Linked DNA regions of Ovis aries. The protein of the gene in region 4 interacts with the protein of the main gene of each other region in a pairwise test. Links are inferred from orthologs where the notes say so. Each region holds a gene or a part of one and is shown on either strand. Other genes may lie near its edges.

What was found.
Region 1: the proteins of THAP1 (region 4) and FAM133A interact in binary tests that used the Homo sapiens proteins (3 or more experiments, as listed by UniProt). The two-hybrid records come from large-scale screens. The link is inferred for Ovis aries from reciprocal best matches to the Homo sapiens genes THAP1 and FAM133A.
Region 2: the proteins of THAP1 (region 4) and BYSL interact in binary tests that used the Homo sapiens proteins (3 or more experiments, as listed by UniProt). The two-hybrid records come from large-scale screens. The link is inferred for Ovis aries from reciprocal best matches to the Homo sapiens genes THAP1 and BYSL.
Region 3: the proteins of THAP1 (region 4) and AP2B1 interact in binary tests that used the Homo sapiens proteins (3 or more experiments, as listed by UniProt). The two-hybrid records come from large-scale screens. The link is inferred for Ovis aries from reciprocal best matches to the Homo sapiens genes THAP1 and AP2B1.
Region 5: the proteins of THAP1 (region 4) and ZNF385C interact in a two-hybrid assay, tested with the Homo sapiens proteins (3 studies listed by BioGRID). The two-hybrid records come from large-scale screens. The link is inferred for Ovis aries from reciprocal best matches to the Homo sapiens genes THAP1 and ZNF385C.
Region 6: the proteins of THAP1 (region 4) and METTL13 interact in binary tests that used the Homo sapiens proteins (3 or more experiments, as listed by UniProt). The two-hybrid records come from large-scale screens. The link is inferred for Ovis aries from reciprocal best matches to the Homo sapiens genes THAP1 and METTL13.
Region 7: the proteins of THAP1 (region 4) and PHF1 interact in binary tests that used the Homo sapiens proteins (3 or more experiments, as listed by UniProt). The two-hybrid records come from large-scale screens. The link is inferred for Ovis aries from reciprocal best matches to the Homo sapiens genes THAP1 and PHF1.

Annotation. Positions count from the first base shown.
Region 1 is NC_056080.1:140,888,211-140,892,449, reverse strand, and holds the start of FAM133A (protein FAM133A), read left to right. Parts: upstream 1-1,439; 5' UTR 1,440-1,849; exon of another isoform or gene 1,850-2,000; intron 2,001-2,155; exon of another isoform or gene 2,156-2,377; intron 2,378-2,643; 5' UTR 2,644-2,713; intron 2,714-4,239.
Region 2 is NC_056073.1:15,721,276-15,725,285, forward strand, and holds the start of BYSL (bystin), read left to right. Parts: upstream 1-1,210; 5' UTR 1,211-1,369; intron 1,370-1,552; 5' UTR 1,553-1,556; coding exon 1,557-1,824; intron 1,825-4,010. Other genes in the region: MED20 (mediator of RNA polymerase II transcription subunit 20), read right to left, coding at 1,001-1,014. UniProt on the Homo sapiens protein: Required for processing of 20S pre-rRNA precursor and biogenesis of 40S ribosomal subunits. May be required for trophinin-dependent regulation of cell adhesion during implantation of human embryos.
Region 3 is NC_056064.1:14,480,627-14,484,606, forward strand, and holds the start of AP2B1 (AP-2 complex subunit beta), read right to left. Parts: upstream 2,801-3,980; 5' UTR 2,561-2,800; exon of another isoform or gene 1,570-2,560; intron 1-1,569. UniProt on the Homo sapiens protein: Component of the adaptor protein complex 2 (AP-2). Adaptor protein complexes function in protein transport via transport vesicles in different membrane traffic pathways.
Region 4 is NC_056079.1:36,885,326-36,888,352, forward strand, and holds part of THAP1 (THAP domain-containing protein 1), read right to left. Parts: intron 1,581-3,027; coding exon 1,385-1,580; intron 425-1,384; coding exon 50-424; 3' UTR 1-49. UniProt on the Homo sapiens protein: DNA-binding transcription regulator that regulates endothelial cell proliferation and G1/S cell-cycle progression.
Region 5 is NC_056064.1:41,946,880-41,951,147, forward strand, and holds the start of ZNF385C (zinc finger protein 385C), read right to left. Parts: upstream 2,801-4,268; 5' UTR 2,667-2,800; coding exon 2,633-2,666; intron 1-2,632.
Region 6 is NC_056065.1:38,471,624-38,475,123, reverse strand, and holds part of METTL13 (eEF1A lysine and N-terminal methyltransferase), read right to left. Parts: intron 1,905-3,500; coding exon 1,737-1,904; intron 446-1,736; coding exon 230-445; intron 1-229. UniProt on the Homo sapiens protein: Dual methyltransferase that catalyzes methylation of elongation factor 1-alpha (EEF1A1 and EEF1A2) at two different positions, and is therefore involved in the regulation of mRNA translation.
Region 7 is NC_056073.1:7,741,556-7,745,528, reverse strand, and holds the start of PHF1 (PHD finger protein 1), read right to left. Parts: upstream 2,801-3,973; 5' UTR 2,285-2,800; intron 1,550-2,284; 5' UTR 1,534-1,549; coding exon 1,375-1,533; intron 1,292-1,374; coding exon 1,210-1,291; intron 1,112-1,209; coding exon 1,016-1,111; intron 233-1,015; coding exon 132-232; intron 38-131; coding exon 1-37. UniProt on the Homo sapiens protein: Polycomb group (PcG) that specifically binds histone H3 trimethylated at 'Lys-36' (H3K36me3) and recruits the PRC2 complex. Involved in DNA damage response and is recruited at double-strand breaks (DSBs).

The DNA.
Region 1 (4,239 bases), on a different chromosome or scaffold from region 4:
CATCTTCTCGTGGTTCAAGCTTTCCGATAGTAGGAATCTCAGGAGGGCTAAAGATATTGAAGAATGATGCATCAGGAACCACTCTTGGCTGGGTTTCAACTTGTCCAGTAGCTGCTGTGCAACTCTGGGTGGTTGTCATTGTAACATCCTTTCCTCTTCTCCAATCTTACAGCCTTTGCAATCTTGGATTTCCCAGTCCCAAGAGAAGAAGGGATCATTGTGATCTGGCTTTGACTTTATTATATATCTCTTGGTCAGCACCTCATTCTTGAAGTATGGATTGGGTAGAAAGCAAAATTCAAATGTGTAACTTACAGGCCTGCTGGGTTTTTAAAACTTCAGGCTAACATCAGACAGAAGTTCAGAATGGGCTCATCATACTTCTGAATCATGGGCCCCAGCTTGTCAACATTCTTGAACACAGTCAGCCAATAGTCAGGAATGCCTTTAGGATCTTATCTTTTAGGCTTTCCTTTTCGAGCTCTTTTAAGAGCTCTATCTTTAGGCGTGACCTCAGGAACTCTTTTTGGAGCCTCTTTTCCTGGAGTCCTTGCCTTAGCCTCTGCTGCTTTAGCCTGCCCTTTATCTTCTGCCTTTGCCTGGAGGGCTTATTTTGGATCTTCTTTTACTTCAGGCCTGGCCTCCAGAGCATCTTTGGACTGTGCTTTTTCTTCAGTCTTTGCTTCGGAATTTTCTTTTGGTGTTACATTTTCTTCAGCCTTGACCTCAGGTTTTGCTTCCAGGTCATCCTCTTCTTCCTCACTCTCTAAAGCAGGCATCTCACTAGAGTCTTCCTGCATCTCTTCATCGCTGCTGAACACCTCATCCTCCGAATTCCATTCACATTTTTCTTCCGTGGGCTCATATTCTGCATTGATGATTTGGAATCGCCGGTTGTACAGAGCCCTATTGAGTTCGGCATATTTTCGTTCGAGATCATGAACTGCCTTTAAGAACAGGGCGTCTACCTTGTCACATTCGTCTTGAATATTTCTGAGAGCCTGCACACGATTTCTAACCGCCCGAGGCAGCTGATCCACGAAACTTCTACCTGACGGAGCCCGCCTCACACTTCTGGAGGGCCCAGGTACACTTATACGTCTATAGAATGGGCTGCGGCCACTGCTGCTACTGCAACTACTGCTGCTGCTACAGCTGCTGCTGTCAGATTCGTCCCCAGAATCGCTAGACGAGATAGCTACCATCTCTCCATCCACCCCCTGGGCGGCAGGTTCCGAGACCCTGTTAGGATCCGCTTCTGCCATTCTGCAAGTCTGCAAACCTCTTAGGTGGTCACTACCGCGTGCCCAGAGATGGGTAGAAAATGACTCACGGATGCTTGGGTGGTGGCGGCGGAAGCCGGGGCTGAGGAAGTGGCAGCGGTGAAGGCAGCAGGAGCGCTGGGCGGGGCGCGGCTGGGCCGAGGTGACTGCACCGGAGGTGGCGGCGGCAGCGGAGGCCTGGGCGACAGTGGTGGAGGCAAGGCCTCTCTGACCTGCAGCTGCGGCGGACTGAGGTGTGACGCAGCTGAATATCGCACTGCGAGAGCCCGAGATCTCTTCACTGCTTACATCTTGAGCCCCCTCCCCTCGCAGTCAGACCTCCAGTTCCTTTAGTTCCCAGTGTGCCTTTAGCTCGCACCTCATTTGCTAGACAAACTTGATTGACCTTGATTGACAATGCATCAGCCCAATAAGTGCGCAAGCACACCGCCGCCTCTAGGCTCCGCCTTCCTTTCCAGTCGCTCCTTGGTTGCTGAGGCACACACCACTGAAGACTTTTTTCCCCTTAAAATTCTGTCTTTATAGTTTTATAATTTCAAAAAAAAAAAAAAAAGCTTAGATATGAGGTAAAAATACTAGTCATGGTTCCTAACAAGGGAAGAGGAGTACGCTCCCATCCACTCATCCTTAATTCCCATTTGGTTTGTCAGGGGCCTCGTGACAAAAAGCTGTTCTTAAAAAATTGGAAGAAAATGCTCCAAATGGCATCATTGGATAGTATGATTATGGATTTCTTTTTAAATTCTCTTTCTTTTATCTGAATGTCTTATGAGCATGTATTTTTACACTGGGTAAAAAGGGGGAGTCGTTTATTGGCGAAGGGGGGAGGGGCTAGAAAGCAGGCATATTGAATTCCACGTAGCAGCTTTAATAAGTGCTGTTTGTGATGTTTGGCAAGCCTGTTTTATATCCATCTACAAGGTTTGCGAACCCATGTTGCCGTGAGTCAGTTACACCATTTTTTTTTACTGTATTTCTCTTTTTAATCTGACATGTCATAGACCCTGTCCTTGCTGGTGATTTGCCACGTAGTCTTTCTCCATGCTTTTAACAATCTTGTAGATAAAAAGGATAAACGGGCATTCAAATGTTAGGTAGTAGTATTTAAAAGCAGATGGTTTATTCTATACTTTTGTGGCAGCAGCTTTTAATTTCACGAATAGCAGGATGGGAGGGGGAATGTGTTGATGAAACTGCATCCTCTGTCAGGGTGTACTTTACAATGGCATCTGCCACCAGTTTCCTTCTAACATTGTACAATTCTAGCCATACTGAAGTATGATTTACAGGTTCAGTAATAGATGAATACACTTTTGCAAAATGAAGTTTAAAAACAGGTATCTGTTATTTTTATTTACAGGATTCTTTTCTGCAACAGAACGACTCCCTTGGTACAACCAAAAAGACCAGTGTTTACTTTTCATTGAAAGGTAAGGAACATATTTAGCCCATTTTTATGAATGACAAGAATTACCTATCTATATTTAAATAAAAATTCACAAGATGTAGCCTTTTATTTGGAAGATATCTTGTTAGTTCCATGGAAGCAGAAAAATCCACAGAGGTGATTTGGAATACTAATGTAGAAAATAACCTAATTAATCACATTCACTTTTCTGAACTTGCTCATAGACTACAAGTAACAAATTAAAATATAAAATATGATGAATTATTCATTTCAAATGAGGAAAAGTATTAAAGTTAGATTACCTCTTATCTTTCCTTTTTATTACAGAATTTGTGCTTATTTAGTTGTATTTTTTAAGTTAGGAAACACTTTTATTTCTATTTTATAAATGAATTTACTTTTATTATTTACTCCTGATTGTCAAAGTATGTAAGTATTGTAAGGAAAAATACAGCATAGAAAATTTCAATGGTAATACAAACACAATCAAATGATAACCACTGTTAGAATTTTGATGCATTTTCTTCCAGAATTTTCTTTGTAAATATATACATATGCCTGTTTACACATGCTGTTTTATCTATGTGACATCATATTGTGTTTTGTAATCTGCTTATTTATCAATTAATTGTGGCTATATTTTCACAGTAAATGGTTGAACATCTCATTTTTAAATAGATGCATATTCCATGAAAATATTTCCCGTAGTTTAACCAGATTCCTATTGTACAGCAGCTACTTATACTACCTCTCTACTAGTAGACGTATTTTTCCTGTTAGAAAATAGTTATCTCAGATACCTACTCTATGCACTTGTAAAAATTAGCCATATGATGAATTCCTAGAAATGAGAGTCCTGAAATAAACTGCCTGATCATTTTACTCTTTGATACATAGTGCAAAACTTCTCTCCAGAAAAAATTATCACAATTTGCAATTATACCAACAATGCATCAGTTCATTTATTTAGTCATTCAACTATTATATTTTTGTGCCTGCCATGTGCCAGGCACATGTGGTAGAGGAAGATGATATAAGTCTCACTAAAACTTACTGGGTGCATATCCTTTCATTTTTATAATTTTAATTAAAATATATACTATAGAAACAATGATTTAAATCAATGAAGCTATGCTGTAAATATTGTTCTATAAATTATTATTTTCCCTTAAAATGATGGACACATTTTGTTAATGAAGGAAGTTATATTTTATAGTACTTTAATGGTTTAATATACATGTTAAGTTTTGTACCAACAAGAATTAGTATTTTGGTTCTTTTTTAATTTTTTAAATTTTTTTATTTTACTTTACAATACTGTATTGGTTTTGCCATACATCAACATGAATCCACCACAGGTGTACATGTGTTCCCAATCCTGAATCCCCCCTCCCACCTCCCTCCCCATACCATTTCTCTGGGTCATCCCAGCACACCAACCCCAAGCATCCTGTATCCTGCATCGAACCTAGACTGGCAATTCATTTCTTATATGATATTATACATGTTTCAATGCCATTCTCCCAAATCATCCCACTCTCTCCCTCT
Region 2 (4,010 bases), on a different chromosome or scaffold from region 4:
TGAAGTAGAAGGTGCCTCCTGCAGTGGAAGCGTGGAATGTTAACCACTGGACTGTCATGAAAGACCCTAGCAAACTTTTCATTCCCATTCTTCGCACCCTTCTTACACTACAGGACTTTGAAGGAGGCTCATGATGCCAGCTTCAGGAAGCAAATGTGCAGTCACTGACAAATCTGCAAGACCTGGGCTACCAGGAATTCCCACAGGCTCTTACATGAGAAGCCTAGAGCCATTGCCTTCAGATAACCTGGCCTCTAAGCCCTCTCTGGGAGAGATGCTCAAGATATATATATTTTAAAGCTCTGAAATCTAGCATTTTGGAACTAAATGACTCGAAGAGAATTAAGCCCATACCTTTCCCTGCCACACTGACTTATAACGTGTTAAAATAAGTCCATAAAAACTAAACCAACCAGGTAATTAAACAGAATAGGAAACAGACCCTGAAGAGGTGATGTGCCTGTAATTCCTATCTCCTAATTCCCAACAGCTCCTTTTTTCCCTCCAGACTCAAGATCTTACAAAGGCCAAACTAGAACCAGACACATGCTGATCTAACTGCATTTAGTGGCTGTAAGGAGGGGCAGGCAAAAACCTAAAAAAGATACTATCTCCTTGTTGCCTATCCCCTACCCATCCAAGCCCTGCCTGCAGACGGGTCCGAGTCCCGACATACTACTTTCAACCCTAAAGTTCTACCCCAGGCTTCACGGTCAAGAAATTGTATCAAGAAAAAAGGAAGGAGGTACACGATCATTAACGGGTTCTTAAACCCTTTTTCCTGCCGCCTTCCAGGAAGAAGGGGCGAATCTCCGAGGAAAGGGGCCTGCAGATTCTGCAGCCCTCGCGGTGGCCCCCTCACTTACACAATCCGAGGACATTTTGCTCATCTTCCGGGGGACTGTGGACCCTGGTCGGGATCCTCCTCCCGGGTATATTCGAGGCTCCAGGGGCCTTCAAGTCCCCAAACCCCGCCCCACAAAGTCCTCTGAAGTCCTACCAAGTCACTCCCATGGTGTCGTGCCAGGAAGATGGGAGGATCAAACAAGTGAAATGCGCTGTGCTCCAGCAGCCCACAAGAGGAGAAACCACCTCGCTAAAGCGAGCTCCAATGGAGGCAGGCGCTCCGGAACTTACGTAAAAACACAGCGTCCAGTCGACACGCCCACGAGGAAGGGCGTGTCTGGGTCCTTCGGTGAGGTCACTGCCCGACTCCGCCCCGCCCCCGATCCCCTGGTTCGCCGGTCAGGGAATTCCCATTCGCCTGGGCACCCTGGACCCAGATCCATGAAACTAGGAAAGTGTATCTCGGACTACAACCACTTAGAGAAGACAACGTTAAATTCGGGAGGACCCAGCTCCAGGACCCGTGAGCTCTTTTTGGGGGGGGGGGGGGGTGGGACGGGGCTTCTGGCACACCCGGCCTCCAGACGCGAGGGGGCGCTGTGAGCTCCGGTGGGCTCTCGGGCGCTGGGTGTTTACCGCGCAAGCGCACTCGGGGCCTTTTTTTCCTCCATACCCACGTGGGAAACTTCACGGCTTGGTTTTCTAGAAAAATGCCCAAGTTCAAGGCGGCCCGCTCGGCCGGGGGTCAGGAGAAGCATGCGCCGCTGGCCGAGCAGATCCTGGCTGGTGACGCGGTGCGGGCAGGAGCCCGAGAAAAACGGCGGGGTCGCGGAACCGGAGACGAGGAGGAAGAGTACGTGGGGCCCCGGCTGACCCGACGGATTTTGCAGCAAGCGCGGCAGCAGCAAGAGGAGCTCGAGGCCGAGCATGGGAGCGGGGACAGGCCCGCGGTGCCGCGGGAGCGCACCACGCGGCTGGGTGAGTGGGGGGGATGGGGTACGAGGAGGAGGGTGGGTAGCTGGGGCGGACGGCTGAAAGGTGTCTGGCAGGGGAATAACTTGGAATTAAAAAACAACAACAACAAAAAACTGAGGCCCTTGGCAAAGGTAATGGGGTTGGGAGACCCAGCTCTGGGGCAGATTGAGGGTTGCCGGAGCCCTCCACGCCCATTCCTTAGAGTGGCACTCTTATAGGCATCACCGAGGTTAGGCCAGCAGGAAGTGGTTACTCACGCCGCTAAGTTCTCCTGGCATTTATTTACGTGTTTTGTAAGTAATCATGGAATGTCTACTACGCACATCCCGCCGTGCTAGGAGTTTAGATGGTTTAGATAAAAAACTGTAAACAGGGTAAAGGTATACCTAACGTCAGGATCTTCCAGTGTAGCCCGAGAGAAAGAATTAAGTAAGCAATTAGAATAATGCACTCGTGATAAAGTATAGCTTCTCTGACAATAGCATTAGTCTTGGGAGTCAGGTTTCCCAGGTTGCATGACCGTTGTGCTGAGAACTGAAAAGTAGGGAGTGCTCTGAGCACAAAGAACAATATTGTTTCAGGACTAGAAAGGGAGCGAGATTATTTAAAAGATGGTCATTTTTCTCGTTATTACTCTGAGAGTGTTGACCTCCAAGTTGCTTAATCCATTTCTCAACACTCATCTTTCATTTGTCTGTGAGCAGCATTCACAAACGGAGAAGGCAATGACAGCCCACTCCAGTACTCTTGCCTGGAAAATCCCATGGACGGAGGAGCCTGGTGGGCTGCAGTCCATGGGGTCTCTAAGAGTCGGACACGGCTGAGCGACTTCACTTTCACTTTTCACTTTCATGCATTGGACAAGCAAATGGCAACCCAGTCCAGTGTTTTTGCCTGGAGAATCCCAGGGGTGGGGGAGCCTGGTGGGCTGCCGTCTGTGGGGTCGCACAGAGTCAGACACGACTGAAGCGACTTAGCAGCAGCAGCGTTCACAAACACTAGCCTCCTTGCTACAGTATCTTTACTCCGCTTCTAAGACATCACATCCCTGTTTTGCTAGTTTTTCACCTCAGTGGGCTTCCCAGGTGGTGGAACCCACCTGCCAATGCAAGAGATGTTGGTTCAATCCCTGAGCCAGGAAGATCCCCTGGAGAAGGAAATGGCAACCCACTCCAGTATTCTTACCTGGAGAATCCCATGGACAGGGGAGCCTGACAGGCTATAGTCAGGAAAAGTCCACAGGGTCACAAAGAGTCAGACACGACTGAGTACACGCACACACCTCTCAGTATCCTTTGCTGGCTCCTATTCTCCCGCTTCCGACGCCTGCTGGTGGGATCTCAGTTCCCCTACCAGGGGTTGAACCCTGAGCCCCAGCAGTGAAAGCCCAGAATCCTTACACTAGGCCACCAGGGAGCTCCCTTTGCTGACTTCTCGTTTGTTGCCAGCCTCTTCCTGTAGTGCCACAGCATTACATCCTTGGAGCTAGTCTCTTCACCTCTGATGACTTCCCTGGTGCTGTCATCAGGGTTGAGGTTTAAATACTGTCTGTTTGGTAACTGCTTCCAAGTTCATATTCCAGCCTCGATCTCTTCCATGAAACCCAAAGTCTTATATTTCAGCTCTCTCTTTAGCTTCTCCAATTTGAAGTCTAAGAAACATCTCAGATTTAGCATGTCCAGAACAGAAATCCTGACCATCTTGCCAAACCTGCTCCACTCCCAGTCTGCTTCATCTCAATTAATGACATGATGTCCTTCCATTTGCTCCAGGCAGAAAACTCTAGACTTGTCTCTTTCTCGCTCCATATCCAATCAATTAGGAAGTCCTGTTGACTCTGCCTTAAAAATATATCCAGAATCAGATCAGTTGGCACCATCTTGGAACACCATCCTGTTCAAACCACAGTGATCTCTCACCTGGGTGACTGCAGTAGCCTCTTACCGAGAATCCCGTATCTGCCACAGTCTACTCTCCACTCAGCAACTCAGGATTGCCTGATCTACAGAGACCTATATGATCTGTACCTGTTGTCAGTCTGACCTCTCCTGCTCCTTTCCCTTTGCCCTCTTCTCTCCATCCGGGTCAAACCAGCTAGTTCTAAAAGAGATCAGTCCTGAATATTCACTGGAAGGACTGGTGCTGAAGCTGAAGCTCCAGTACTTTGGCCACCTGATGCGAAGAGCTGA
Region 3 (3,980 bases), on a different chromosome or scaffold from region 4:
TTTACCAGGTCAAACTAGACAAGTCATCCATCGGCTGCTCTACCGGCTTGAGGTATGGCCTCAGGACATCGTTTTAAAACATAAATGAGGCTGACAGAGTCAAATGCACAATTTCTCTAACTTTCCTAGCCCAGAGTGTGATGTCACTGCATTTCAGAAAAGGCCTCTCTGTACAGGATTACACATCTAGATTTAACATAACCTAGTTTCTACTAAATATAGGCTGTGACAGTTTTCCCTTCTCAACTATCCCTCCTTCCTTCTGGTGCCCCTAAAGAGAATAAGGCCAGAAAAAAATTAATAGGGGTCTTAACTCCGAATGGCTCTCTGGGAAATAGCAGCTAATTTAGAGTTGGTGAGGCCAGTAAATCCACTCTCTTCACGTGAAGTTGGATTTTACACAGCTGGTGCCCGTAGGGAAAAAGTGAACAGAATTAAACCAAATTATAAAGTGGACAGGTCATCTTAGTAATCTTTCATTACAAGCATAAGGATGAGAAGTGCTAATTACACATTTCAATAACACATCTTCATGTATCATTTATTGCATACAAAATTACAACAGATAACTCATTACAACAGACATACCTATCATTCCCATTTAACTACAAAGTACTCTGCTAATATCATACAGTAAGAAAAAAGGTCTTAAGTTTCACATCCAATTCTTAATTGAAATAAACTCTGGAAAACTTAACGCCTGGAGAGAGAGAAGGAAGAAAAGAAAATGTGTCCTTCCTAATTTGTTACTTGTTCAGCTTGATTCAGAACTGTGCCTTAAATGTAATATTTTAAAACACAGGTAGAAAGCTGAGCACCGAAGAATTGATGCTTTTGAATTGTGGTGTTGGAGAAGACTCTTGAGAGTCGCTTGAACTACAAGGAGATCCAACCAGTCCATTCTAAAGGAGATTAGTCCTGAACATTCACTAGAAGGACTGATGGTGAAGCTGAAACTCCAATACTTTGGCCACCTGATGCAAAGAGCTGACTCACTGGAAAAGACCCTGATGCTGGGAAAGACTGAAGGCAGGAGGAGAAGGGGACAACAGAGGATGAGATAGCTGGATGGCATCACTGACTCAACGGACATGAGTTTGAGTAAACTTCGGGAGTTGGTGATGGACAGGGAGGCCTGGAGTGCTGCGGTCTATGGGGTGGCAAAGAGTCAGACACGACTGAGTAACTGAACTGACTAAAAATACAGGTGTGTTTAAAGAAGGAAAAAAAAAGATGGAAGAACCAGGTTTTCTTGAGTCTCTTAAGTCACAGAATGTTGTTTAGTGGTTAAGTCACATCCTACTGTTTTGCAGCTCCATGGACTGAAGCCTGCTAGGTTTCTCTGTCCATAGGATTTCCCAGGAAGGGACACTGCGGTGGCCTGCCATTGCCTTCTGCAGGGGATCTTCCCAAGCCAGGGACCAAACCCACGCCTACTGCAGGCGAGCCACCAGGGAAGCCCTCACAGAATGTTAGCTTTATACTAATTTTACCATCCAGCTTTCAGTGAAGCTATCTGCAGAACACCCTCTACTTTCGGCTTCTTTGGGAGTTTAAACTGTCAAATACCTGTAAACAGTTCTCACGTTCCCACCAGGCTTAGTCACCACTGGCAAAGTGTTACACGTTTTCTTGCACAGCTGCATCTCCTTCATCTGCTGCTTTCTATTATTACTTTGTAAGTGTACCCTGAAGCTAAGCAACACAAGTATACCAGGAAGGTGATTAATAATTTAAATTGTTCCTCACTGAGACCACTTTCTTGGTCATTCTATCTTTTCTAAACTTACTGCGTTTTTTTTTTTTACTTTCTCTTTAAACTACAAGGATTGTTAACAGTGTTTTGGCATTTTTAAAACCTTTAAAAGTGAAAAGTTTAATGAAGCAGCCACATTTTATTCACACCGCTTCATAATGGAGTTTAAAAAAGAGTCTGCCCCCAAATAGAAGAGTGCTGTTAAAAACTAACAGCATGAATAAACTCTTTGGATTAAAAAAAAAATGGAATTAACAGGAAGTTCCAGTTTCTTTACCTCTGTCTAATCCACAGCCTTTCTCAAACCAGACCGTTCCTTCTAAGACCCCGAAGAAAAAACTCCGGGCTAACATTTACTCTCAAGAGCTTCCCCCTCTCTCATATCGGGTCAATTCTCTGGGTTTTTCTTCCCTATCTTCGGAGTCAGGAATTCCTCTTCTTTCCCGAGGTGGTAAAAATTCTACGGCTATGTTCCTCCATTACGAAGCAGAGAGGCGTCTCTTAACCTCAAATGACGGGCGACGGCGAGGTTTACCCATCTAGGAGCAAAGCTCTGGGGAACCCCTTTTCCCTTTCCTGAGCTGAGCATGTCCTACCTAGCCTCTCAGAGAACGACGCCAAACCGGGAAGAAGCAAGGTTCTCTCCTTGGCCTCCGGTCTCCGCCAGCCACACCCCTGGCCTCTGACCCTCTTAACCCCCCGACTTCGAACATATCTTTCCCCCAATACCCCCCAATTCCCACCCCGAGGATTCCCTCGCCCCGCCCCAGCGGTGGAGTCCTTTTCTCCAACCCTCTTCCTCACAACGGTCACACCCGACGGCTCACTCCATCTTCAACGGTCACGGTCCTCGGATTTCCTCTCCTCCGCCTGTCTCCAACCAAGTCTGGGGATCCCCCATCCCCATCAAAAAGGGACACACCCCAGAGGTAGCCGCCTACAACTCACCGTAGGCAAGGGCGGGGGTGGCAGCAGCGGCCAGAGAGCACGGCCCGAGCGATGTTGTAATGGTTTCCTGCACGTCACGACTCCTTCTCCAGGTCTAAGCCACTGCGCAAAACCCACTTTGCCCGGTACAAAGATGGTGGACAGGAAACTCTTACGTCAGAGAGCCTCGCCGTGTGATGTCATCCAGACGCGCGAGAGAACGAGAAAGGAGGGACTACTCTCTGTCGCCTTGGAGACGGAAAAATTTTGCGCGGTGTGGTAGAGATCTGAGATCTAGGCTTCGGAGGAAATTCATCTGAAAGAATCTAGTAAACAAGCTGACATTCTCTGGATTTGTTTCCTCACACAAGACCTCTCTAAAAACTTACACAGAGTCAGTGAAATGCCTGTTGCTTTCTTTAAAAAACAACAAAACCCAGCTAATTCCTTGGGCAATTAAAATACACTGACAGTGGTGATCCAGCCCAGGATTATACAAGGGCAGTGGAACTGGAGGAGACTGGTGCAAGGAAAAAAGGTTGAGACGGTCTCAAATCTATGTGTGAATCCATTTGAATCCGAATCCCTGCCCTGAATGTGACTAGGAAAGTTACTTGTCTCTTCAACTTCAGTCTTCTTACTTGTGAAATAAAGACGATGATAATAACTCTTACCAGTTTATGAAGCTTAAACCGGATTAGGTTGGTAAGAAGCCTAGCATGTAATAGGTATGCTTTGTTAATTGTTTTAGTTAAGTCACAGCTGACTCTTGTGACCTCATGGACTGTAGCCCACCAGGCTCCTCTGTCCATGTGACTTCCTAGGCAAGCATACTGGGGTGGTTTGTCATTTCCTTCTCCAAGGGATCTTCCCCACCCATGGACTGAACCCGTGTCTATTGCATTGGCAGGCGAGTTCTTTACCAATGAGCCACCAGGAAAACCTACGAGTTTGCTTACGCGAAAGAAGTCCCTTTCAGAAACCAAGACCTAGAAATCTCTGTATCTTCCCCTCAAAACTAAAACTTCCCACATAAAACTGCTCTAAGTAAAAATAATAAAAAGTCTTTAATCAAGAAAGAAGAAGAATGTGAAGAGCCTAAGGCAGAAGCTGGGAAACCAAAATGCAAAGGGGACTGAGAAGCAGTCAGAGAGGTAGAAGGAAAAGAAGGCAGTCATAATGATTTAGAATGTTTTTAGAGTTCTATGAAAGTATAGAACTGAATATCAAAACTGTATCTCTGAGGCCTACCCCCCGCCTCCCCCAAATTTGTTGAATGACTAAATGTATGAGTGAG
Region 4 (3,027 bases):
GAGGGTAGGTGGTATTGCCCCATGAAAAACCAATACAAATCTCACGTTTTCACGCGGGGACTTCGACTATCTCGAAGTAGTCATTGGGGAGAATGACGTAGCCCCTCTCGGAGGCGCCGTCCTTCTCCTTCTGGAAGTGCACCACCTCCTTCAGCTTCTCCAGCTGCCTCTCCTGTCTGCGGCACCGCTGCTGTGCAGTCTTGAGCTTCTTCCGGAGCTTCTCCACTTGCTGCTCCAGCTGGTGGATCCTCTTCCGCTGGTGCATGGTGTCCTCCACGGTGTAGTTGTGGTCACAGAAGACGGAGAGGTTATCGGGGGTCTGAAGAGGAGGCATGAGCAACCCGATCGCAGCATCAACCTGGGAAATGGGGGGCGTTAAAGGAGGCGGCGGGGGCTGTTCCTGTGGCTCCAGGAGATCTTCCTTCTGGAACAAAGACGCAGAGCGTGTTTGAGCTTCATTATTAAAAGTAACAGATTAAAAGAACACACTAAATTCTGCACCTGTGCAATATAAGAATGTTAGACTTAGTTCTGCCTCCTTGGCATAGAAACAGTCTAAAATGAAAAGAAGTTTTAATTTTCCTTTTTTACCTGAAGTAGAAATGGGATGCAAAAAAGACAAAATGATTAATCGGATCTAATTAAACACTAGCACTGAAAACTGAGGGGGAAAATACTCTGAAAGTTAACTATCATCATAAAGGAAAATCAAAACTTATCAACATATAAGCAGGAACACCAGGATTCCCTGGTGGCTCAGACAGTAAAGCATCTGCCTGCAATGCGGGAGACCTGGGTTCGATTCCTGGGTAGGGAAGATCCCCTGGAGAAGGAAATGGCAATCCACTCCAGCACTCTTGCCTGGAAAATCCCATGGACGGAGAAGCCTGATAGGCTACAGTCCATGGGGTCGCGAAGAGTCGGACACTGAGCCACTTCACTTTCACTTTCAAGCAGGAACATGGGGCTTTCCAGGTGGTGCTAGTGGTAAAGAACCTGCTTGCTTACGCAGGAGATCTAAGAGACGTGGGTTCAATCCTTGGGTCAGGAAGATCCCCTGGAGAAGGAAATGGCAACCCACTCCTGGGTTGCAGAATCCCATGGATAGAGGATCCTGGTGGGCTACATAAACACACAAGCAGGAATACAGACTGATCTTAAAGTAAGTTAAAAGCTAGGCTGAAGTGTCTTAGTGTGAGAATATTTAACTTTACTAAACACTCTGTATTTTTTGAAGTATTTTGCTGTGAACAGGGGTCATTTACAAGGGATGGGTTCCAGGTAACATTTATATTCTTAACACTACTGTGGCTTTTCCAGATTTTCCATTGAACACATTAACTTTATGGAAAGAGACCCGCCCAGTACTTTACACGCCCCTCACCTTGTCGTGCGGCTCGGTACACAGAAATATCGTGGGGACAGCATCCTCTTTCAGCAGCTTGTTGTTGCACTCCCGCTTAAAGCAGTCCGGGGTAAAGTGGTCCGAGCAGATGCTGCTGTACTTGGTGGGCTTAAAGTTTTTCCTTCTGACAGCTGCCTCCCATTTCTTACAAAGACTGGGTCGAGTAAGAGGAAACCTAAGAAGATGAAATGATTCCGTTTTCTAGCCTTACTCAGAAACAAAAAGGCACACCCAGGCGTTCCTGCTTAGAGAAGAATTAGCTTACAACCACCGGTGTTCACACGCCACAGGCGTTTGCTTAACACACCTGCTCCCACTAATCCTTTTTCGACAGTTTTTCAGGTGTACCCTTATCACCCTAGATGTTACGGATGTACTTGTGTGGACATAGAGAACAAGCCTGTGGTTGCCAAGGAGGAGGGGAGTGGGGAAGAGCGGGACTGAGAGTTTGGAGTTACATACGAGAAGGGATAAACAACAAGGTCCTACCGTGTAGCACAGTGAACCGTAGTCAAAATCCTGAGATAAACCCAAATGGAAAAGAACATGGGAAAAAAATGCAGAGCTGTGTATAACTGAATCACTTTGGTGTACAGCAGAAACCAACGAAACACTGTAAATCAACTATACCTAAAGTAAACTTTTTAAAAAATGGACTTGTTTTAAAATCCTGTAACTAAAGTGAGCATCACTAGTGTGAAAAATAAGTCACCCCTCCTAGCATGGTATTTTTTTTTTTAAACCAGGATTTCTTATAAGAATCTTATTGATCACAAAGCAGTTGTAAGAATGTCAGATATAATGATGTATACAATCTAAATACGTCAGGCTCATTAGGATTTACATTATGCAAAAACATACTTATTAAAAGGCAGCCACGTGGACAGATGCACGCAGCTGGCAGAGCAGGTGATAGGAGGGTAGGTTCAAGGGCCCATGTGATGTTTTCCCCTCTTTTGCAGTAAATAACCTTCGCAAACAGACACATCTAAGATACAAGGGTAAACCATATAGCTCCACCATCCACCTATCTCAGTCTTTAATGCTTAACTTTTTATACTGAAGACACTAAAATCTGGGGTAAAATACACATGGTATAGACTGAATTTGTATTATTATTATTATTTTTTTTACCAGTGATCCTCTGTGTACTGTAAAACAAAACTGCACGTTTATAACTATGTACCGAGACAAAGAAGCTTTTTGTTTTCTTGAGAATCATCTTGACAAATATGAATCAAACTGTAGCCAAATCATAATGATAAGGAAAAAAAGTATTCATTTTAATTTACCTAATTGACTGAAATACATCCATTAGGCCCAGATAAAGAGAGATACGAAGCTTTTAAACTTATTTTATTTTTCCAGGTAAAAGATTCAGTGAGTTGGGGGGGATTGAAAAAAAGCCAAAAAAGGGTGTTTCGACTCTGTGTCCCAGTTTCTCTACGAAGTGAGATACGCTCGAGCCTGACTCTGCTATGGTCGTGGAGCCCTAATCTACCCTTCTCTTTGCCCAGAACATCTGTTCCCACTACCATGTAGAAGCTGAGAAAGACTCCTAGAATGTTCCTGCTGGAAGTGCCTCTAGAAGTAGACACAGCAGCAACTGCTGGGAAACTCAA
Region 5 (4,268 bases), on a different chromosome or scaffold from region 4:
ATGTGTCTGTCCTCACGGAGGTAGAGGGGGCTTGGGGGAAGGGAGCACTCAGATATGGCTCCAGAGCCCGTTTCCACCCCTTCTTGCTGAGTGTCAGTGGACTTCGGGGCCCCAGGTGTCAGTGGCATCCTTGGGCACTGCACTACCCAAATATGGCTAGAGAGAAATTCTTCGGAGGCCGCAAGTGCAGAGCGGGAAGTGGTTGCATCCTGGGGAAGGGGGTTCTTGGGGAAGACCTGTCTTTGCAAAGGGTTAACAGAAGAGGAGGGTTCCAGGCCTGTCCCCAGCCTTTGGCAGGGCATGAAGGGCTCCCTCACCTAATCCTTAATGAGCCCAGTTACACTTTGGTATTTTCCCCCAGGTCTGCCAATATCTACCCTTCGCATCCCCGAGCCAGGTCCCCTGCGCTGCCTCTGAGAAGGGAGCCTGGCTGGCTGGCCAAAGTCGGGCCAGCCCTGCCCTTCTGGGCTTCAGTTCCCTGTCTTCAAGGAGAGCGGATTGGGCTGGGCTAATCTCTTAGGTCCCTTGCAGGCGGTGCTGTAGTGGCCACGGGGAGCAGCTGCCTCTAAGGTTGGGGTGGAGGGGGGACGCCAAGCTGTATTTGTCTGTTTCAGCAGCCAGAGGAAGGTGGGGTGGGGACAGAGAAAGAACTGCCCTGTGGCGAGTGCCCATTGCCTTCCGGGCACTGGACAGACATCACCTCTGTTAACCCTCAGAGCAACCCTGTGAGGCTCTACAGATGAGGAAACTGAGGCTCACAATCGAAACGACAGGCCTCATCCTATGATGCAGGGGGAAGGGGTACACAGCCTGGCAGCCCCCATCCCATCACTCCCAGGGTCACAGGCGGGAGTATGGGGCCGTGTCTGGAAGAAGAGAGGCCTCATCTGTTCTTGTCCTGTGGAGTGTGAGCCCTCCTGGGCCTGGCTGCCCCCCACAGGCCCCCAAGGAGCCACCACCAAGCACTCTGCTCTCCCAAGGCTGACACCTTGCAGGGTGTTCACTGTGCAGCCCCCACAGAGCGGCACCCCCAGGGGATGGCCCAGAGAGCTGGGGTCACCCATGGTCATACCCAAGACTCCCCAAAGGAGTCAGAGACTCCCACCTAGAGGAGTGGGATGGCCCGACTGGGGGCAGCCATTCCCACCCCCAGCTCACACGTCCCCACTTTGCCAGGCAGGAGGCCCTGAGGCTGGGCTGCTGTGGGTGGGGGTGGGAGGGATCCACTGGACAAACCAAGGCAGTCATGTCTGTTGTCCCATCCGAAGTGATGAGAGATGAAGCCTGTCACCTTTCCCTGGGGACGGCTGGGTGCTGGGGTTTTCAGGAGTGAGCTGGCTAAGTGGTGCTGAAAGTCAACACTCTGGCTCCAAGGAAGCAAGAGAGAGGGCATGAGAGGTGACAAGAGCAATGGTCCAGAGGTGAGGTCACCATCCCCCCAGGCTATCCTCACCCCCTATTGGCTGGGAGTCCCAGAGGGCCTTCTTCCTCTGAACACCCTAGAGATAAGGGCTGCCTCTCCTGGACACTGATTCTCCCCTGAAAGATCCTCTGGCCACCCTCCGGAAGGAAGTCTTTCTTGTTATCTCAGCTGCATCCCTCCTCGAAGGGCCCACAGTGGTAACACAGAACAGCTGCCTCTAAGGTGGGGGCGGGGGGATTAGCCTCAGTGTCCCCTCTTCTGACCTCTGCTTCCAGGCAAGGCCTAGGAACCTGATTTGTACAGGAGAGCCCCCCAACCCGCACCAAAGCCCCTGCCCAGGACCCTGGCACAGTTCAGCCTCATCCACTGCTTGCTCTCCCGGCCCAACTCCCCAAAAGCCTGAACACTAGCTCCCCCAAACAAGGCTCCCCATCGTGATGGCCCCAGGGTCAGCACTTCCAAGATGGGGCTGAGAGAATGAGTCAGAGAGAGAGAGAGAGAGAGCCAGAGGGAGGAGGGCTGAGAGGTCCGGGGCTGTTTGAGATTTGTCGGCGCGGGTGGGGGTGGGTGGGGAGGGGCGGGTGAGGCGGAATCCTGCCTCCCACAAAGGCCAGGAGGGCCAGCCTCTACCTCTGACCCTGACAGAAGAGGAGGCATTCTGCTTGAAGGAGGAGGGGCAGGCGAGGCGGCCTCCAATGACTGTGAATAGTGGAGATGGGGGTGACGGAGTGGGGGGGATGAGTGTACTCTCTGCACCCACCCCCAAAAGACAATAGGTCTCCCATCCCCCACCCCTTCCTTTCTGTTCTATCTCAGGGGCTGATGGGGTGGGAGTTGATTTTTGGAGTCTCTAAAGAACTTAGACAAAAAAGGTAGGTTCTGTGGTCGATCCCCCTGTCTGCGGAGAATTGTCCCTTCTCGGGATGAGTCTCGCTGTCCCTGGCCTATGGTCGCCAGCCTCCCTTCCCCTACTTCCTGGGAGCTAAAAGTTCTGGCCATCACCCTTGTCCCCCCTCTCGGCCTCGTGATTCTTGTCGCCCACCTTCCCAAAACACAAGGCAGGGTAGGGTCCTCGCTGCTGCCACCAGCCCTACGGAGCCACCTACACCCCCACCCCGCGCGGGCCCCCTTGGGTGCTCAGTCCCAGCGGCGCGTCGGTCCGGGATGGGGAGCCGGGAGTGCGGTCCCACGGCCCGCGCCCGCGCCTACCTGAAGGGCGCTTCCGACCCGAGCGGGGCCGCATCCAGTCGTCCGCCGCCGCCAGGGGCGGTCCGGATTCTCGGCGGCTCCCGGCTCCTGGCTCCCGGAGGTGCGCGGCGGATGAGTCCCGGGCCCGCGCGTCTCGGGGCAGCCGCCGCGTCCCCGGAGCCCGCCCCTGGGCGGCCCACGGGGAGCAGGTGCCAGGAGCCGCGCCGCCCGGAGCGGAGCGCAGAAGAGCGGGTCGGGAAAGTGGCCTGGCCCTGGGGCTCCCCGGGCAGCACACAGGGGAGACGCAGGGGCTCTTCTGGCGGCAGGGCTGGACCCATCGGTGAGTAGCCTCCCTACCCTTGGCTGGCCAGTCCTGAGTGCCCCTCACCTTCCAAAGGGTCCCAGAGTTGGGGGGAGGGAACCCCAAACTGGCCACCCCGCACTGGCCTGCTGTGACCTTCCCTGCCTGTGCATGCTAAGTCGCTTCTTTGCCACCCTATGGACTGTAACCCACCAGGCTCCTCTGTTCATGGAATTTTCCAAGCAAGAATACTGGAGTGGGTTGCCATGCCCTCCAGGGGGCTCTTCCTGACCCAGGGATCAAACCGGTGTCTCCTGCTTTGGCAAGCGTGTTCTTTACCACTAGCACCACCTGGGAACCCTTCCCTACCCTTTTGTAAACCAGCCCCTCTTTGTGGGGGAAGCTCAGGGAGAATAAGGAAGCTGACATTCATGGAGTATCTCCTGAGTGCCAAGAGGGATGGCACTCAATCCTCATAACAACTTGCCCCAGACTGGTTTGATCCTCATTTTACAGATCAGGAGATGAAAGATTGGGGATGTTAAGTAACTGGCTCAAAGTCACACATGAAGTCAGGAGCAAATGGGTTGTCCACAGGTCAGGGGATTAAATCAGTGGGCCTGTTGGGGAAACATCATTGGTGTATGTGGCTGGGGATCATTTCTGATTCTTCCCAGGGAATCAGTGCACTGGCTCTGGCCCACATTGGGGTATGAGACAGGAGAATGAAGCCAAGCAGAGGAGGGCAGGAGGCAGGGGCTGATGGCATAACCTCCTAACAGAACCTGCCATCATTCCATTACTGGAGAGTCTCAAAGAAAGGCGATAGGAATGGCTCTTGTATTAAAGAATATGGACCAGTGCCCTTCTTCCCACCTCATGCTCCGGCCAGCCTTCGTGTGAAACAGGCCTTCCAGGGAGGAGGTCTTGCCATGGGGAGCCCTGGTGATGTCTCACTTGCTAGCTCCTGGCACTGCTTCCTGGTTCTCACGTCTACCAACTCACTCCTGTCTTGAGGTCTCTGCTGTTCCCTCTGCCTGGAACTCTCCCCTGATCTTCACAAGGCCTTTTCCTTGCCACTCAGGCCTCAACTCCACTATCACCTCCCCAGGACCCCCTTTCCCCAGCCAGGTTATTATTATCTTTATCCTAGGCCCTGGTTATTTTCCCTTTAAGCATATCTCCCAAGATGCAATGCTTTTGCCTAGACACTTACCTGTCTCCCCCGTGGGGAAAGGGCTTTTATTTTCCAGGTATCGGAAGCACCAGTGCTAAGCTCTATAAATGCTCTATAAAGGGTTGTGGAATGAATGCATGAATTCATTCCCACTCCAAGAGTCAAGCCACATTAAAGTG
Region 6 (3,500 bases), on a different chromosome or scaffold from region 4:
GTCCCTGGGATTCTCCAGGCAAGAACACTGGAGTGGGTTGCCATTTCCTTCTCTAAGACACTCTATATTTACTGAATAAATATGTCAATAAATGAGGGAACAAATGAACAGGTGAAAGACTGGGATGATGCTCATATCTCTTAGAGATGAATTCTACAGCCCCTTGCAGGCCTGACAACCTTGGATCAATCTTTCCTCAACACCCCTCCAAATTCTCCAAAAGCAGTACCTTCTTCTTCTGCCAGGCGGGTTATAAAGTCCAGACCATCTGCAATGTGGACCTTCATCCGGTCACTCTGGGAAAAGCCGAACCACTGGGTGGCCACTTCCAACATAGAGGGGTCGATCTCCACAGCATGGATGCAGGACTTTGGGAAATGATCGTGGATAAAGAGAGGGAGGCTGCCCCCGCCCAGGCCTACCACCAACAGTGCCAGTGGGGTCTCTGTAATAAAGAATAAAAGCATTATGTTACCATCTGCTCACTGTAAAGTTCTGCACCAGCCTTAGAGAGGACAAAAGAGACAGTCGGATTGTTCACTCTAGCCAGAAGATACAAGATTTAGAGACTTGGCCTCCCTTGTCTCTTTCTAGAAATTCAGGAGTCAATTTAATATATGTAAATTCAACCCTGGCCTCATGATCCTTCCTTTACTAGTTCCAGAAGAGCAATCAGTATATTATTATTATGGTTCCTTAAACATCGCAAAGCCCTCAGCGGACATTACAGCAATAATCCCCACCATCAGCATCATTAAACCCCTCTAGGAAACAGAAGGGACAATGGGCAACATCTTGTCCATGATCACAGGGCATGTAGATGTGATGCCCTCTGCCCAGCTTCCAACTCAAAGGCCACAGCTACCTTTAATAAGACACACCCAACAAGTGAAGGAAGTCCATCCAAGTTCCAGAAGTCACAGGAAAACAAAGGCCCAGATCCTACACTCAAGTTCAGAGAAACAGGGGATGAAAGAAAATGTGAAACCAGAAAGAATCGCCAAAGAGAGAAACCCTGAGGATTAAATGTAACAACTGAGAATCCACTGACACACATCAGCACCAAGATAGACCACAAGTATAGGGTATTTCAGCAGGACATACTCAGGGACTTCGGGGAGAAGACAGCTACAGGAGTGGACAGAAACAAATATTTTTGCTCCTGTGGTTAGATCCCAACCTATTATCAGCGATAAGGCTATGACTGTACTACCTATACTATGGATTTTTTTAAAAGCAGAAATTCAAGAAAGAATTACATCTGGCACTCAAAGAATGCATCACTGAAAAGCCAGAAATTTTCCTAAAGCACACAGGTATTTCTCTGGAGATATGATTTTTAAATGTTCCATCTGGATACAGGGTATATGGATATGCAAAAATTCATCAAGCTGAACAATTTAAGATCCATTCACTTTATAGATTTCACTGAAGATATTTTATACATTAATTTTTAAAACTGTAAATTTTACACTAATTTTTAAATAAATGCATAGAAGAAAAAAATATAGATATCAGCATGTATGTCTATTTCAAGATTACAATTTGAGTTTGTGGGAAAAGTTACTTGGATGTTCATGAATGATGCAGAAAGACAGTTGGGAATAAGAAAGACATGAATATGTGCGCATCTGTTGGTCTGTAATCATGGTTCTTAAGCTGCAAGGCAGCCAACTCTGATGACATCTGTAATCTTACACATTTCCTACTGTGGAAGGCTGTGGCGACCTCCTCACCTAGGAGCCGCTCCGGGTTTTTCAGCAGCGCAAGGCCGGCGATCATGGCTTTGTGGTGTTCACAGCACAGGTAACTCTTATCAATGGACTGCCCCGGGGCTGCAGGCAGGTCCTCTGGGGTATCAGCAGGCCGATGCTTCTTCCTGTCCTTTTTCCGTTTCTTCTGGGCTAGATCAGAGACACAGACGAATGAGGTTGTGTGAGGTACGTCACTCCTTGGAAAGTAAGGCACACGAGCAGCGGTGTGCTGTAGCTGGCTGATTGAGACTCGGGAGTCAATGGTGAAATATGCAGGCATTCTGTGAACTGGCTGACATGCTGGTAGCTTGAAATCTGTCCGTGGTGGCCATTTTCATGTACAGAAATTAGGGAACAGTACAATTCATGGCTTTTTCTCCCCAAAGAGCTGGTGGTCCAACATTTAACATGTGCCAGGGTGTCAGAAAAGGGAAGTGGCAAAGAAAACACCAAAAAACTGATAACGCTGGGAATACTTGAGTGAGGGGTGCTAGTACTTCTTTAGGAAACATAAAGCCGCTCACAGAGTTTATTCATGAGTTTTTTTAAGCAGAAAAGAACTTAAAGTTACTAATTACTGCCTCTGTGCCAATTGTTGTACCAGGACTCTTACTCCTGTAGCTTTTATAACAACCCTCTTATTCCAATTCTCAGCAGATAGAAAATCTGGCAGTGCAGCTAGGATTTGAATGTGGGACTGCCTGTCTCCAACACCTACCATCTTTCAATTGCATTACACAGATGGTAATGCACACCACCCCAGTGGACAAGGACATCACAAATGTTCACAGAAGGGGAAAATCCTACGGAAGGTCCCTTTACATTTCCTCTCCTTACTCTCTCAACTGCACCAGGACAGAGTGAACAGCTGGTTTTGCCGTTTTCCTAGGGACCAGCTGCACTCCACAGCAGCATTGGGCAGCGATGTGTGAGGGGCAGCCTGATTTAACATAACAATCAGAAAGGTTAAATCACTTTTTAACACATTCTCCTTCTTCTCACCAATACTCCCTTAGGAAAATCATTCCCATGAAAATTAAGGATGGTAAGAAGACTAGGATCTTGACAACAATGGGGAAAAAAAACTTGAAACCCAAATTGGAGGGGAATATCTTCTTTGAAGCAATTTTACTGATTTTTTGGTGAGACGAAGCTGAACCAACCTGTACCTCAAGTGACCCAATGACAGCTCGGGAACCCAGCAAACACAGGTGCACTTGACCAGGGGACACCCCTCAACAGAAAACTGTCCTGCAGACAGTCACCTGACCCTGAGCTCTGGGCACACCCAGGACCTCATGAGGTTCTGAACTCTCTCTTTTCACTTTCCTTCCAGATGGCCTTGCCAACACAACAGCATGGTCATCAGGCAAAAGAAACTTCCAAGAATCAGAAAAGCCAATTTCAAATTCCAAGCCTGAGTCTCTGGGCCTCAAAAGGAAAGTTATACTGGAGAGGTGGAGGGGAGGAGCGTTCACTTCTACTCTATGCATCTGATTTGTGAACTGATTACAATAAGCAAGTATTGCTTTTGAAGTATAGATATATACATGGGAGAAAACAGCAGGCGAAACAAACGATTGCTTTCCCCCTTAGGGGGTGTTTCTGAGGAGCACATGAGAGATCACTTAAAAGGGATCCTAGAGAACATGGTCTGGATCTACCCTGTCCAAGCCTGTAACCCTGGCTACCTGTGTCTATTTACATTTAATTATAAGTTCATTGGAAATAAATAAGATTAAAGAT
Region 7 (3,973 bases), on a different chromosome or scaffold from region 4:
CCCGGGCGTAGGGGCCCTTCTTCAGTGCACCCCCCCTCTGCAGGTGGAACAGACAGGTGGCCTCAGGGGTGGAGGAAGGAAGGGTCCAGGAGAGGCTGAGAGTTGGAGGTCCCACAGGGAGGGGCCCTTACCTTGGTGGCGATGGCAAAGACGCACTGGCGGCAGACCCAGGATGCGCCCTCTCCCTCTCCAGGGGCTGGAGCCCTTGGAACGTGGCAGTCCTGGTGATAAGCTGAATAATGAGAATATTGACAGTAGACCACTTATTGCATTGCGTACCTGTGCGCGCTAGGTATTGGGACAAGAGTCTTAACCCCATCTCATTTTGTTCTTGACCATGGTCCTGGTAAGGTGGGTGTATTATCTTTATTTTAAAAGCAGGTGAGGCAGCTGTGATTCTTAGAAGTTTAGGGACTTGCCCAAGGTCAAATGGTTAGAAAAAGCCGTACTGGAACTACCCTCTGCCTGCATCTGGGACTTCCTTGATAGCTCAGTTGGTAAAGAACACCTGCAATGCAGGAGACCCTGGTTCAACTTCTGGGTCAGGAAGATCCCCTGGAAAAGGTATAGGCTACACACTCCAGTATTCTTGTGCTTGGGCTTCCCTTGTGGCTCAGCTAGTAAAAATTCTGCCTGCAATGTGGGGAACCTGGGTTTGATCCCTGGGTGGGGAAGATTCCCTCGAAAAGGGAAAGACTACCCACTCTAGTATCCTGGCCTGGAGAATTCCATGGACTGTACTTTTCATGGGGTAGCAAAGAGTCAGACACAACTGAGAGACTTTTGCTCACTCACACCCTCTGCCCGCAGAGCTCATGCATCCCATCCCAAGGCTGCCCCTCCCTGTGCTGGCAGGGAGTGAGGTTACAGGCTTGTGGAGACTGCTCAGAGCAGTGGCTTGGGGACTCAGACCAGGACAGACAGTATAAGGACCAGAGCTGGAGAGAAGGATCAGAAGCACCCTGGTAGACCTAGGGCAAGCTAGACCATTCAGGTGTCCTGCCCTCTCACCCACCATGGCGACACTTCTCACAGCTGACCAGCCGGTTCCCAGGGACCACAGTCTCAGAGCGACATACACAGCAGAGGAGTTCCTCCCCAGGGAGGGCCGCTGTGAGAGAACAGAGTGTCAGAGGGCCTGTCCTCCAGCCCCTTTCTGTCCCCCATGCCAGGTTTGTTTTCCCTTGGATCCATTCTCAGGCTTCTCACCAGGGCTAATGTCTTTCCATAGAACCAGAAACTGGGAATCATCCTCAAACTGAACCAAACACACCTCCCGAGCACTGTCCACCTGGAATGGGTGAGCACAGAAGATGGAACAGGAATCAGACTAGATAAGGGGAATGAGAAAAGGTGACAGGTCAGAGGTCATACCTTTTTGATGGTCCCCAAGTATAGCAGCCCATCTGTCCATCTGGCCAGCACATCTTGACCCTCCCAAAGTCGAGGCCGGGGGCCTGAGGTGGGAGCAGGAGAAGCTGGGTCCCAAAGTGGGGGGGCACCAGAGCGGCTCAGCCGGGGGGGCTGTGCCATTGCATCCTGGGGGGGCCTAGTTAGAAGTGAGATGGTAGGAGAAAGTTACCAATATTGAGGAACTAGCCCCCATTTTCTTTGCCTGTTTTTCTGTCAAAGGCTTGAGCAGGTGTGCCCAGCCTCCATTTCCCTGAGACACCTGGGTAGGAAACCCCTGGGCACCCCTTGGGCCTTCCTGACTCCAGCTCTCCCAACAGTCACCAGTGGTTCTCTTCTCCCCACCGTCCCCCCACCCCACCAACCTAGTTCTCTAGTTTCCCAGCTGCCAGAGCTCCCCTGGGACGTTGTATCCCGGCCTTGAGATTTTAGCAAAAAGGATGGTTGCAGAGGCAAAGGTTGCCACTCAGTTTCTACTGTCACCTTCTACCGCTGTTTATAGAGGTATTACAATTGGGGTGCTGTTTCCCAGAGACGTGTTTTGGGAGCTTTTTCTGGAGATGTTTTCGAGTGGAAAAGGTTGCCTCCGGGGCCCCCGTGTCTCATTCAGAACAATCATCTTGGTGCTAGGTTATGTCAGGTCACCCTCAAATTCGGGGCTCCCTGCCCCCGGGTTAGAGAACTTCCCTGAGTGCCCCGGGAGGGGGGCGTGTCCCAGTCCGGGTCTCTTCTCCCCAGGACGGCGAGTGGGAGAGGGGGCTTGAGTCGGCCCAGCCCGACCCGCCGCCCGGGCGGCGCGGCTCTCCCGCCCGCGCCCTGCGCGCCGACCCCCGGCTCCCTGCCCCCCCACGGGCGCCTCCCGCCGCCTCCTTACCAGTGACAGCTGGGGCCGCCGGGAGCCGGGCAGAGGCAGACGTGGGAGACTGAGGTGAAACCCCCGCGCGGGGAGGGCACGGCTGGGCGTCGGGGGGGCGTGCAGGCAGAGACCGGGGGGTCCCCAGGCCCAGCCCCTCCGTCCCGGCGGCTCTGGGGCGTATGACGCAGCAGCCAAAGCAGCGGCAGCGGCAGGAGGAGGCGGCGGGGGGAAGGAGGGGAGGGGAGGGGAGGGACAAACCTGCTCGGGGGGAGGGTGGAGGGAGGGGAGGGCGGGGGGAAGGAGGAGCCGGGGGGGCGGGCACCTCCTCACCCCACCTCCCTCACCGCCAGCGGGCCTGGAGGGCGCGGAGCGAGTGGGAGCGTCTCCGTGGATGGGGCGGGCGGGCTCGCGGACCCGGCGGGAGAGGGAATCCCCGCAGCCCCTTCCTCCGGAGAGAGGCCTGCCCTCGGGGCAGGAGGGAATCCCCCGCTAGGCCGCCGGCCGGGCCGCCGCCCCGCGCCACATCCGTTAACTGCCCCCGGCCCCGCAGGGTCACTCCGGGCCCCGCCCCGCGCTCCAGTTCACGACCCCGCCCTCCATTCACCCGTCCCATGGCCCCCGCCCCGCCCCGGCCCCGCGGGCTCCGCCTCCTCCCGCCTTTGCCCCGGCCTCCGCGGGCTCCGCCTCCTCCCGCCTTTGCCCCGGCCCCGCCCCCCCGGAGTTAGATGCCCCCACCCCGCCCACTGTCGCCGCGCCTCTGCGCACGCGCGACCCCTCCCGCGCGCGCGGCACCTGGGAAGACCCAGCCCTCTGACGGGGCGGCGGCCCTCGGCGCTTGGCGCGAGGGAGTTAGCCTATGCGCCCCGCCCCGCGCGGCCGAGGCGGGTGCACCGACTAGAAGAGCTCGGACCGAGGCGGTGACGCCGCCGAGAGCCAGCCAATGGCGGCGGGCGGAGCTAGCCCCGGCGGTTCGAAAGGGAAGGAAAAGAGCGGGAGGAGAGAGCCCGCAGCTTGTGGGCGGACGCGCCGGCCCCGCCCCGGACTCCCACCTTTCCGCACTCAAGAGTTCCTGCCCCGGGCGAGGGTGGCCTGTGCCGGAGGAAGCGGAACTAGTGACTGGACACCTGGTGCGCGCAACCCCCCGGACGTGGATAGGGACGGGAGCAGGGCGGGGGCCACCCTGACTCTGGAGTGACCCGTTAGAAAAGCCGGAGCCCTGTCCCCGTGAGACACAGACGTTTGGCAGAATGGAAGAGCCACAGCTCCCCCCTTATTGGACAACCGCTAATAAAACCTTTATTTAAAAACAACAAAAAATTCTCTTCTTTATTTGATAGGCCCAGGTATCAGCGCCCACTACCCCCCTCCCCCCCCCCCCGTGTGTCTCACACATACACACACACAATCTAGATCCATCTTCATTTCTTGTTGGCCTGGGCTGTGCCAATAACACACTGGTTCACCTGCAGACAGGGGATTTAGACAAAACAGGATAAAAAAATTTTCAGAGCAACCAAAAGTTTTCCCCAAATCACCTCTGAACCCTCAGTGTTAGGGCTGCCCTCAGAGTCCTGAAATAAGGGCTCTGAAAGCAGGTTCAGGCTGGTCTCAGTTCTCCCGCGCCCACTGTCCACACTAGATCTGGAAGAGGAGGAAAGGCCAGAGAAAGGACAGAAGCCCCTCACAGGAGCAGAGAAAGGCACTTCT